Linked DNA regions of Macaca fascicularis. The protein of the gene in region 2 interacts with the protein of the main gene of each other region in a pairwise test. Links are inferred from orthologs where the notes say so. Each region holds a gene or a part of one and is shown on either strand. Other genes may lie near its edges.

The links.
Region 1: the proteins of PADI4 (region 2) and ANXA4 interact in binary tests that used the Homo sapiens proteins (3 or more experiments, as listed by UniProt). The two-hybrid records come from large-scale screens. The link is inferred for Macaca fascicularis from reciprocal best matches to the Homo sapiens genes PADI4 and ANXA4.

What each region holds. Positions count from the first base shown.
Region 1 is NC_088387.1:52,197,030-52,202,618, reverse strand, and holds the start of ANXA4 (annexin A4), read left to right. Parts: upstream 1-1,743; 5' UTR 1,744-1,785; intron 1,786-5,589. UniProt on the Homo sapiens protein: Calcium/phospholipid-binding protein which promotes membrane fusion and is involved in exocytosis.
Region 2 is NC_088375.1:217,809,972-217,815,573, reverse strand, and holds the start of PADI4 (protein-arginine deiminase type-4), read left to right. Parts: upstream 1-1,849; 5' UTR 1,850-1,875; coding exon 1,876-1,967; intron 1,968-5,602. UniProt on the Homo sapiens protein: Catalyzes the citrullination/deimination of arginine residues of proteins such as histones, thereby playing a key role in histone code and regulation of stem cell maintenance.

The sequences.
Region 1 (5,589 bases), on a different chromosome or scaffold from region 2:
TGTAAGGGATGCAGTGTCTCTCTAATCTTGCTGAGGAAATGAATTATCTGTATTTCATTTCTTCCTACTGTTTGCCCTTTAATTTTTTGTTTTGTTTTGTTTTTGTTTTTGTTTTGAGACAAGGTCTCACTCTGTCGCCCAGGCTGGAGTGCAGTGGTGCAGTCATAGCTCACTGCAACATTGACCTCCTGGGCTTAGAGTGATCCTCCTGCTTCAGCCTGGCCAGTAGCTGGGACTACAGGCGTGGCTACGCGCCCGGCTAGTTATTTTACTTATTTTTTCTTTTTTTTTCCGTGACAGTGTCTCGCTCTGTTGCCCAGGCCGGTGTGCGGTGGCGCAGTCTCAGCTCACTGCAGCCTCCACCTCTCCGGCTTGGGGGTTTCTTCCACCTCATCCTACTGAATAGCTGGGACTACAGGCGCATGCCACCACACCCAGCTAATTTGTGTGTGTGTGTGTGTGTGTGTGTGTGTGTGTGTGTTTTGATATGGGATTTCACCACGTTGGCCAGGCTGGTCTCGAACTCCTGGGCTCAAGCGATCCACTTGCCCTGGCCTCCCAAAGTGCTGGGATTACAGGCGTGAGCCACCGTTCCCAGCCTTAATTTAAGTTATCACATGCAGACAAAAGAGGCAGAACCAGTTTTAGTATCCAAATCAGTCTGATCCTAAAACCCATGCTCTAAACCATATTAAACCACCTTTTAAAATTACATCTTAATGAAATAATTTAATGTTACCTCTCCAGCTTTAAGGGTGCCATTAACCACTTATATTTTGATGTGTCGGATAGAAAACACTCCCCAAACGGGCTATTCTCTGTTTTTTAAAAAAATTGAATGTGCCTATAGACTCAACGGATTCATTCTGCAAGCATTCACTACGTGGTGGAATCGGTGCTGGGCATGGGTGCTAAGACGACCTAGCCCTAGTTGGTGGCTTCAAGAGGCTGTGTCCAGCAGGGGAAGCAGATATAAAAACACAACACTATTACAAGGGATGAGCGCCGCGCCAAGTCGAACCTGGGAGCCACGGACAGTGTCTAAACCTCAGTCACTCACAGGAGTATAGAGAAAGATCCGGAGCTGCTCCTAACTCCTACTCCAAAGCTTTCCCGGCCTGCTGGGCGCACAGGGAAGAGGGAAGTGCTGGAAACTTTTGGGAATGTGTTTTCCTGTAAAAGAGGGAAATGAAAAGTACCCTTCAGATTTCACTTTCTACTTTTCCGGCCACGGGCTCAGCACTAGCCTGCCGTTGGGAGAGAAACGGTTTTCCGGGGTTGGGGGAAGCGTGGATTCGAGGCGGGACTGCGGCTCCGCGCGGAGATGGGCGCGGCAGGCGCAGGGAGGAACTGGCGAGGTGGCCCGGGCTCGGCCCTCCGAGGGTGTGGAGCGCCCAGGACACGGGGACCCCGAGAATCCAACTGCTCCCACCCTGCGGGACCAGGAGCGGGGCTGGCGGTACTGGCGGCATTATCCAATCCGGGCAGGGGGCGAGGCCGGGGGATCCGGCCGGCCTGGGGCGCGGGCACGTGTGGAGGGCGGACCCGCCGAGGGTCGAGGCCCGCCCCTCAGAGAGCGCCGGGCGCTGCTGTCCCGGCCCGGGGCCCCAGGTGCGCTTCGCCTAGAGAGGGATTTTCCGGTCTCGTGGGCAGAGGAAAAACCAGGAACTCGGGCTCAGTCTCCACCCCAAAGCGGGGCGGATCCGTCCCGGATAAGACCCGCCGTCTGGCCCTCAGCAGGGTGTGACCTCCGCAGCCGCAGAGGAGGAGCGCAGCCCGGCCTCGGTATGAGGGGTAAAGGGGCTCCGGGCCGGGGGTCCTGGGCTCGGGGAACGGGGAACATGGCCCGGGAGGGTTTCGCGGGGATGCCCGGCTCCGCGCTGCGCCCTAGAGTGGGTGCTCGGCGCCGGCTTGCGGGCAAGCCCGGGCGGCCACAGGGTGGAAGGGGCCAGCGGGCCCGGGACTCGCTCCGGGTGGGCGAGAGGGAGGCGAGTGCGGCGCCTAACCACTGGCACCATCCAGACATCCAGGGCCGCTTACACAGCTCAGGACGCGGATCAGAGACCACGGCAGCTATTTATTCGGTCCGTGTGCTGGACTCCGGCATCAAAAAGAAAGGACCGAGATAATCTTGACCGTAACTAACTGCGCCTAACACCTCTTACAGTTTACTTTTTGATTCTTTCTTTACTCCATTTAAGAAACTTATTCCTTTCTCCTAGATCCTTACTATTGTCTTACCTTCTTGTGTGTCTAATGCCCTCGGCACAGTGCCCGGCACATCGGAGTCTGATCATTATAGGGTCCATGACTTGAGTTGGCTGGTGGCTCAGTCTCACCAGTTTGTCATGACTTTGACCAGCTGGAGACTTTGGGGCCAAAGAGGATTGCTTCTCAACAATTTGCCGGCAGAAGTGCCCCCCGGGTCAATGCAAGTCTTCTGAGCTGATAGAGCAGAGTGGGTCCTGCATAACTCGTGCTTTTCTTGGAACTCGGCATCTGCTCTCTCCTGCTGACAGTGGGAAGGATAGATAGGGTGGCGCTCTCCAAGTTATCCATTCTCCTGCCCACCAGTCCATGACACCCCACCACCCCTTTCCATTCCCTACTGTTTGCCCTTTAATTTTTTGTTTTGTTTTGAGACGCAGTGTCACTTCTGAAGCCCAGGCTGGAGTGCAGTGCCTGGATACAGCTCACGCTGTCTCCCAGGCTCAGGTGTTTCACCCACCTCAACCTCCTGAGTAGCTGAGACTACACGTGCATGCCACCACGTGCCTATAGTCCCAGCTACTCAGGAGGTAACTGGTAACTATTGATAATCAAACCCCAGATTTTTTTTTTTTTTTTTTTTTGAGATGGAGTCTTGCTCTGTCGCCCAGGCTGGAGTGCAGTGGCTCGATCTCGGCTCACTGCAAGTTCTGCCTTCCGGGTTCACGCCATTCTCCTGCCTCAGCTTCGCGAGTAGCTGGGACTACAGGCACCCGACACTGTGCCCGGCTATTTTTTTGTATTTTTAGTACAGACGGGGTTTTGCCATGTTGGCCAGGCTGGTCTTGAATTCCTGACCTCAGGTGATCCACCTGCCTCAGCCTCCCAAAGTGCTGGGATTACAGGCATGAGCCACCATGCCCAGCATCCAAACCCTAGGTTTTTCGTTGCCAGGGAATTCTCAGACACAGATGGAAGAGCAAGTAGGAGAGGAAGTGGACAGGAATAAGAAAATGGATAACCCCAGTGACCCAAGAACTGCTGACTCCCCAGAGCCCTATCAGGCCAAGGCCATCCTCATTCAGCTCATGTCAGATTTCTGTTGATTGAGGATATAGACGCAAGTACACCCCTGCCCCCACTCACACGTAGACAGGCACAGGCACAGGCACACAGCTACTGGATCAAGGGCTTCTATGAATTTCCCTCCTGGATGTTCTTGCATTTGGTTAGGGATCATTTTTCTCTGCAAGCAATTTAGAGGGTAACCCGCACAGTCAAGCCGTGTACCACTCCAGGCCTTAGTATTTAAAGGGTGAGTCTCCTGGTCATCCCCAGGCTCATGTCCAGTGGCATGTTTCTTTGTTTATGTCCAGCCACTCTTTTGTTTTCCTGAGCTCACTTATTATCTGATTGTAGACTAAGCCTGCTTTTCTCCGAGGGAGATCAAGATGAGTGGCAGGCACTGGGGATGGTGGGCAGTGTGCCAGGGAGTACCTGAAGTTCCAGAATAAACAAGCAGTGGGGAGGCCTGGACAACATAGCAAGACCCCATCTCTACAAAAAGTTTAAAAATTAGCTGGGCATGGTAACGCCCACCTGTAGTCCCATCTACTTGGGAGGCTGGAGAGGGAGAGTCGCTTAAGCCCAGGAGTTCAAGGCCACAGTGAGTTATGATCACACCACTGCACTCCAGCCTGGGTGATAAACAAACAAGCAAGCAAACAAACAAAAGCAAGAGGAGGAGATTTTCTTTGTCATTTTTACACAAATATTTCAGATTAAAAACACTTTTTATACTAAAACAATCACAGATATATTTTGAAGTAGAATCCAAAAATTATATACCTTTTAAATCTAAAACAAGAAACCTGGAAAACATTTTGCTTGGGATTTGGGCTGCGATTTGGTCCAAACCTAGCCCTTGAGGGTTTGTTTTCACTGCAATTAGGGCTACGTATGGAGGCAGTTTGATAGACACTGCAGTGTCCTCCCTGGAGCAACTTTTAATAACACTCATCTTAGACTGTCTTATCTAATCTTCACTTCAACCTGCAGTGGGGTTATTAACATTGGTTTACAGCTGAGGATCCTAAGGTTCCATATCATCATCCTTGGTCAAGTTCAGACCATTTGTGAACTAAAGCTTAAATCCAGCTGCCAGGATACAAAAGCCTGTTCTCTTTTTTTTTTTTTTTTTTTTTTGAGACGGAGTCTGGCTCTGTGGCCCAGGCTGGAGTGCAGTGGCCGGATCTCAGCTCACCGCAAGCTCCGCCTCCCAGGTTTACGCCATTCTCCTGCCTCAGTCTCCTGAGTAACTGGGACTACAGGCGCCTGCTACCTCTCCCAGCTAGTTTTTTGTATTTTTTTAGTAGAGACGGGGTTTCACCGTGTTAGCCAGGCTGGTCTCGATTTCCTGACCTCGTGATCCGCCCGACTCGGCCTCCCAAAGTGCTGGGATTACAGGCTTGAGCCACCGCGCCCGGCCCAAAAGCCTGTTCTCTTATCCTCTCCGCCCTACCATAACTCCATCAGTGCTTGGTTCATAGTAATTTGGAGTTGTGGCTTCGTAGGTTGTTAACTAAATCTTGAACAAATGTTTTTCTTTTTCTTATTTTCTTCTTGTCAAGCTGATGTGAAATGGGGTTGGATGAACTAGAACTGTTTCAGCTGGAAAGGGAGTGCACCTGTTGTCCCAGCTACTTGGGAGCCTGAGGTAGGACGATCCCTTGAGCCCAGGAGTTTGAGACTGCAGTGAGCTATGATTGTGCCACTGCACTCCAGCCTGGGTGACAGAGTGAGATCCTGTCTCTAAATAAAAAGAAAAAAAAGAGAGAGAAGTTTGCAGTGAGTGTGGGGGGTGCATGCTAGCCAGCAGCCCTAAATGCCAGAGGTGTTTGACGTGTGGACAAGGGAATAAACTCGCTCTTCGAGGTGTTTGGCAGAGCTGGGTGATAGGCTCTGGTTGAATCTGAAGAAGTGGCTTTTAAAACCCACAGACTGGGCAGCCTTGATGTTGGCGAGAGCTCTCTCACTAGAGGTGGTTAGGCAGAGGTCCACAGCCCTTTTCTGATGGAGCTGGAAAGGGTTAGCAGGTTAAGCTCAGGTAACTTCTAAAGCTATAGTTCCCAAACTTCAGGGTGCATCAAAATCACCCAGGAAGCTTATACAACATGCAGATTCTGCTTATTTAAGCAGCTCCCTGGATGACTGTGATTCGGGCCTCACTTTGAGAAACTATGCTTTTTTTTTTTTTTTTTTTTTTAATGTTTTGAGACAGAGGCTCTCCTTGTCACCCAGGCTGGAGTGCAATGGCGCCATCTCAGCTCACTGCAAACTTTGCCTCCCAGGTTCAGGCGATTCTCCTGCCTCAGCCTCCTG
Region 2 (5,602 bases):
TATGGCTCATTCACAGCAAATTTAAACCCCAAACTGCTGAAGAAAATAAGAAAGCAAAGAAGAAACAGAAGAAAACAACCTCAGGAGACCTAAGACTTGGGGTAGAGGCCAGCCCTCTCACTGATGTGCTGCGTGACCGTGGGCGGGTCCCACCCCCTTTCTGTGCCTCAGTCTCCCCTTCTGCAGAACAAGGACTGGATTGGGTGTTCTCTAAGGGCCCTCCCAACTCTTAACAACGGGCAGCTCCCTCCTGCCACTTTCCAGTAGAAACTCAAACTAGTTCTAATCATGCGGTCAGCCAGAGAAATCGGGTTTATTAAGACTTACTGTGTGCAGGCAGTCACGTAGATGCGTCAGAACGTCAGACCTGGCCACGTCATCATCTGCTGGTACAGAAGATAAGCTTTGAGCCTAGAGAAGGTGGTCTGAATTCAGATCCCCACTGTAGGGCTTGTGACACCTTGGGGGTCTCACTCAATCTCTCTAAGTCTTTGTGGCCCATCTACACATGGGCATCCTGATAGGACCCACTCCACGGGGATGTTGACATGGGGCAGGATTTGAACTAAAGCCTGCTTGATTCCACAGCCTGGCTCTGAATTAATGAGGCAAATTCTTTGCTTCAAAGCCAAAGCAAGCAAACAGAAATGAACACAAAATATCCAACCTGCCGAACGCTCTATGTTCACGCCAGACCCCCATGCATGCATCCTCTGAGTGCTCCTTGTTGAGACCCGTCTGCCACCCGCCAATTGCCTTATTAAAGGTAGCGCCTGGTACCAACGGCCCAGGTGCAGCCACATCTCTGTGGCCGAATGGGCGTCCCCCTGGCAGGCGTGGCCCACACCTGCACTGTCTGATCTGACAGCCAGAGGCCCTGGCAAGAGGCAGGTATCCTGGAGCATGCAGAGAACATCAGCTTCCACGCCAGGAAGCTCATCTCCTCCCAGCTCTACTGCATGCTGGCTCTGGCACTTTGGGCAAGAGCTAGTCACTTTTACTCTCTGAGCCTCAATTTTCCTTCTGTAAAATGGATTGTAATAATAAGCCCATCTATATCTTGTAGCGAGATGTAGCTGTGATACAGTCTGGAAAGCACGTGTCATACAGACAGGCAGCTAATGAATGTCACACTCTGGAACTGGACACCTTTGGTTCCAATTCTGGCCCTACCACTCTCGAGCTGTGGAAGTGCTCTGGACCTCCATTTTCTCATCTGTAAAATGGGTACAATAATGGCACCAACCTCAGAGGGCTACTATGAGGGTGAAATAAGGGGATAATGGTACTACCTAGTTCACAAGTTTGTCTTAATGAGCTATTCCATGTGGTGCAGGAAAACATGCCTGGCGTAGAGAAAATACCAAGAATGTGAGCTGTCATGTGGGTGGCCCAGGTGGAGAGACTTGTCCCAAGCCTGGTTGCTCTTTGAACGTGTAGCCTGGCCTATGATCGCTTACCTAAAATCTCCCTGCTTTTCCCACCTTCTCCTTTCTGATACCCCTGTTTGACATAGGTGAGATTGGATAGATCAAGGTGTTCAGGGCCTCCAGGCAGGGATGGGGCTACGGGCACGTAGGACTGGGACCCAACCCCTCAGCCTGGACTCCACCCCACGCTTTCTGAGCCATCCATCCTTCTCAGGAAACTGACAGAGCCACCCTGCCACTGGTACCAGCATTGACACCCACCTAGAGGTCCAAGGGGCAGCCCCAGGGCAGAGGAGATTTTGAGAGCCCACACCCCTGACCTGAGTGGGGAGGGGTTGAGCCTCTGGGCCACAGACCGCAGGTGCTGACTCATGGCCTCCGCTGGGCGGTATAAAGGAACCAGCCCGGGGGCTTCCTACAGCCAGAGGGACCAGCTAACCAGACAATGGCCCAGGGGACATTGATCCGTGTGACCCCAGAGCAGCCCACCCATGCCGTGTGTGTGCTGGGCACCTTGACTCAGCTTGACGTCTGCAGGTGAGCGGGGGACCTTCTGGGGTTTTGGGGGCAGGTCAGGAGATGCTGGATGAGCCAGTTCTACTGACACAGAGCATGTGTTTGGCCCAGGCTCCAGGCTCCAGGCTCCAGCCTCTGCAGCCACTGCCAGGGGAGCAGCTGGAGAGAGAAGATCCCAGCAGCCGTGGGAAGTGCCAGTCTCATGGCTGTGGGTTTTTTGCCATGTACAAGTGCAAATTCCCCAGGACCACACCACAGATAAATTATTGTGGGGCAAACTAGGCCAGCCATCTTCCTGTCTTCATCGAGGCAACAGAAACTTACAGAGGGTCTGTGATTTGCTCAAGGTCACACAGCAAGTGTGCCCTGGAAGTAAGTTTAGCCCCTGGGCCTCCTGGTTCACAGCACAGTTTGTTACCCCACATCTCTTAGCTAAGCTTCTCCGTGGGTGTGTAATAGTGTGGGTGGGGATGGTGAAACGGAGCTCTCTGGCGTGGCAGAGACTGAGGTAGGAAGCCTGGACCTGCTGTTGGCTAGCTGAGAGGCCTTGAGCAACTGAGCCTCAGTTTCCTCATCTGTGAAATGGGGATAATACTCACATCACGGGCTGGTTATAGGAATTCAATATGAAAAAATGTGCAAATGTTGGTTGAGTACTTAGCACAGTGGTGGGCCCATCCCTGGTAGTTTTTTTTTTTTTTTTTTTTTTTTTGAGACGGAGTCTCGCTCTGTCGCCCAGGCTGGAGTGCAGTGGCGCGATCTCGGCTCACTGCAAGCTCCGCCTCCCGGGTTCACGCCATTCTCCTGCCTCAGCCTCCCGAGTAGCTGGGACTACAGGCGCCCACAACCGCGCCCGGCTAATTTTTTGTATTTTTAGTAGAGACGGGGTTTCACCGTGGTCTCGATCTCCTGACCTTGTGATCCACCCGCCTCGGCCTCCCAAAGTGCTGGGATTACAGGCGTGAGCCACCGCGCCCGGCTCCTGGTAGTTTTTATTCACTCATTTAACAAACGCTGTTTGCCATATGCCCTGTGGCAGGGTCTGGGTTAAACAAGAGAGTGGAGGAACACTCTCAGGGAGTGTGCAGGGTCATTGTTGTTATTGTAGAACAGGAATTAAAAGAAATTTTAAAATGTGTAAGCAGAAACTCAGCTCTGTGTTCAAACAAACAAACAAACAAAAACAATTTTCCCTGAAAAAAAAAAGAACTGGAGTCCCTTAAAAATGAACTGCCTGGTTTTTTTTGTGGCTAGGAAGCCTTATTGCTGCTCCTTTCCCAGGCACAGTGAAGACCCCGTTTCTCTAGCTGTGCAGCTGCAAGGCCACTAGACAGATACACTCAAGCCATAAAACATGTCTTTCCTTAAAAAGTAAAAAATAATATAATGCATGTCTCAATTAAATAACTGTCTTTATTTCTTTCCCCCTGCACAGATCTCTCCCCACCCTGTGAAATGCTTAAAATATAACTTAACTCTTTGTTCAGGGCTCGGTCTTTTTAAATGTGAATCCGACTGAGCCAGTGCACCTAAATAATAAATCCTCCTCAACCCCTCGGTCTCTCTGATTCCTGAATTATCCTGCAACAATTACTGTTGTCAGGAATAGGAGTGGTTGCCCCTGGCTTCCCCAGCCCAGGCTGGGCATCGGTGGCCCTAGAATGGTGCCCATAGGAGTGTCAGGGACATTTCTTTTTTTTTTTTTTTGAGACGGAGTCTGGCTCTGTCGCCCAGGCTGGAGTGCAGTGGCCTGATCTCAGCTCACTGCAAGCTCCACCTCCCAGGTTCACACCATTCTCCTGCCTCAGCCTCCTGAGTAGCTGGGACTACAGGCGCCCACCACCTCGCCCGGCTAGTTTTTTGTATTTTTTTTAGTAGAGACGGGGTTTCACCGTGTTAGCCAGGATGGTCTCGATCTACTGACCTCGTGATCCACCCGTCTCGGCCTCCCAAAGTGCTGGGATTACAGGCTTGAGCCACCGCGCCCGGCCAGGGACATTTCTTTGCAAGTGTCACTTGCTGCCTGAGCCCCAGCTGCCAGATAACAGCAGTAAATATCAGATGGTCTCCCAGGGCCACATGAGGGAGGCAGGAGACCAAGAAGTTGGGGAGAAAAGGAAAAAGAAAATCACCTGACATCGTTTGAGGCACCCGCAACTCCTCTGAGGATGAGTGTGGAGGAAATGACAGGGCCTCGCCCAGCATGCGCAGGCTAACCCTCTACCCAGCGTCTGGGAGTAGTGATCAAGATCACAGGTGCTTCCTCTGGCCCTGGAGAGGTGGGTGGACAGCTGGTCAGGGTTGGGCAGAGAGGAAGGCACTGCTCATTTCTCCCAGAAATGATGGGGACTCTGGAGTTCCCAGGTGCCTCGAAACCCTTCTTTTCTCCTCCTTCAGCTACACATTGAGCCCTGTCACTCTATCCCCTGAACATCTCACATAACAATGGCTAATATTTACATCACACTTACTACATTCAACTCATTCAACGGCCTCGGGAGGCTGTTAATGTTGTTATTCCCATTTTATAGAAGAGGAAACGGAGGCTCCAAGAAGTTAAGTAACCCACCTCAAGCCACACAGCTAGTAAGTAGGGGAGACAGGACTCAACCCAGGCAGCATGACTCTAGGACCCTCCTCTCTCCCCATGGGTCCCCAGTCCAGCCCTTCCTGTTGCTTCTTATCTGTTCCTAACATAGCCCCAGACAGTGCCTCCCTCCCATCTCCTGAGCAGCCATCAGCCTCTTCATGAACCACATAGGTGGGAGGGCCACTCCCCCCTTACCTCCACCCACATATGCATACCTCCATACCTTTGCTCAAGCCATTCTTTCTGTCCCCAAAGTCAGGAACCCGGGAGGCAGAGGTTGCAGTGAGCCAAGATTGGGCTACTGCACTCCAGCCTGGGCGACAGAGTGAGACTCTGTCTCAAAAACAAGAGGCAAAAATACCTACCCGAGGGTCACATCAATTAAAGGTGGCAAGCCGGGTGCGGTGGCGCACGCCTGTAGTCACAGCACTTTGAGAGGCCAAGACGGGCAGATCACTTGAGGCCAGAATTTCGAGACCAGTCTGGCCAACATAGGGAAACCCCGTCTCTACTAAAAATACAAAAAAGTTAGGAACCATGCCATGATGCACAGGACAGAATAAATAAAGCATTATGATGGCCAGGCACAGTGGCTCACGCCTGTAATCCCAGCACTTTCGGAGGCAGAGACGGGCGGATCACAAGGTCAGGAGATCAAGACCATCCTGGCCAACATGGTAAAACCCTGTCTCGACTAAAAATACAAAAATTAGCCGGGCATGGTGGTGCGCAGCTGTAGTCCCAGCTACTTGGGAGGCTGAGACAGGAGAATTGCTTGAACCCAGGAAGCAGAGGCTGCAGTGAGCCGAGATCATGCCACTGAACTCCAACCTGGGCGACAGAGACTCTGTCTCAAAAAAAAAAAAAAAAATTAGATGGGAGTAGTGGCACATGCCTATAATCCCAGCTACTCAGGAGACTGAGGCACAAGAGTTGCTTGAACCTGGGAGGTGGAGGTTGCAGTGAGGGAAGATTGCACCACTGCACTCCAGCAAGGGCAACAGAGTGAGACTCTGTCTCAAAAAGAAAAAAAAAAAGTTAAAGGTGGCAAAGCCAGGACTGTCTG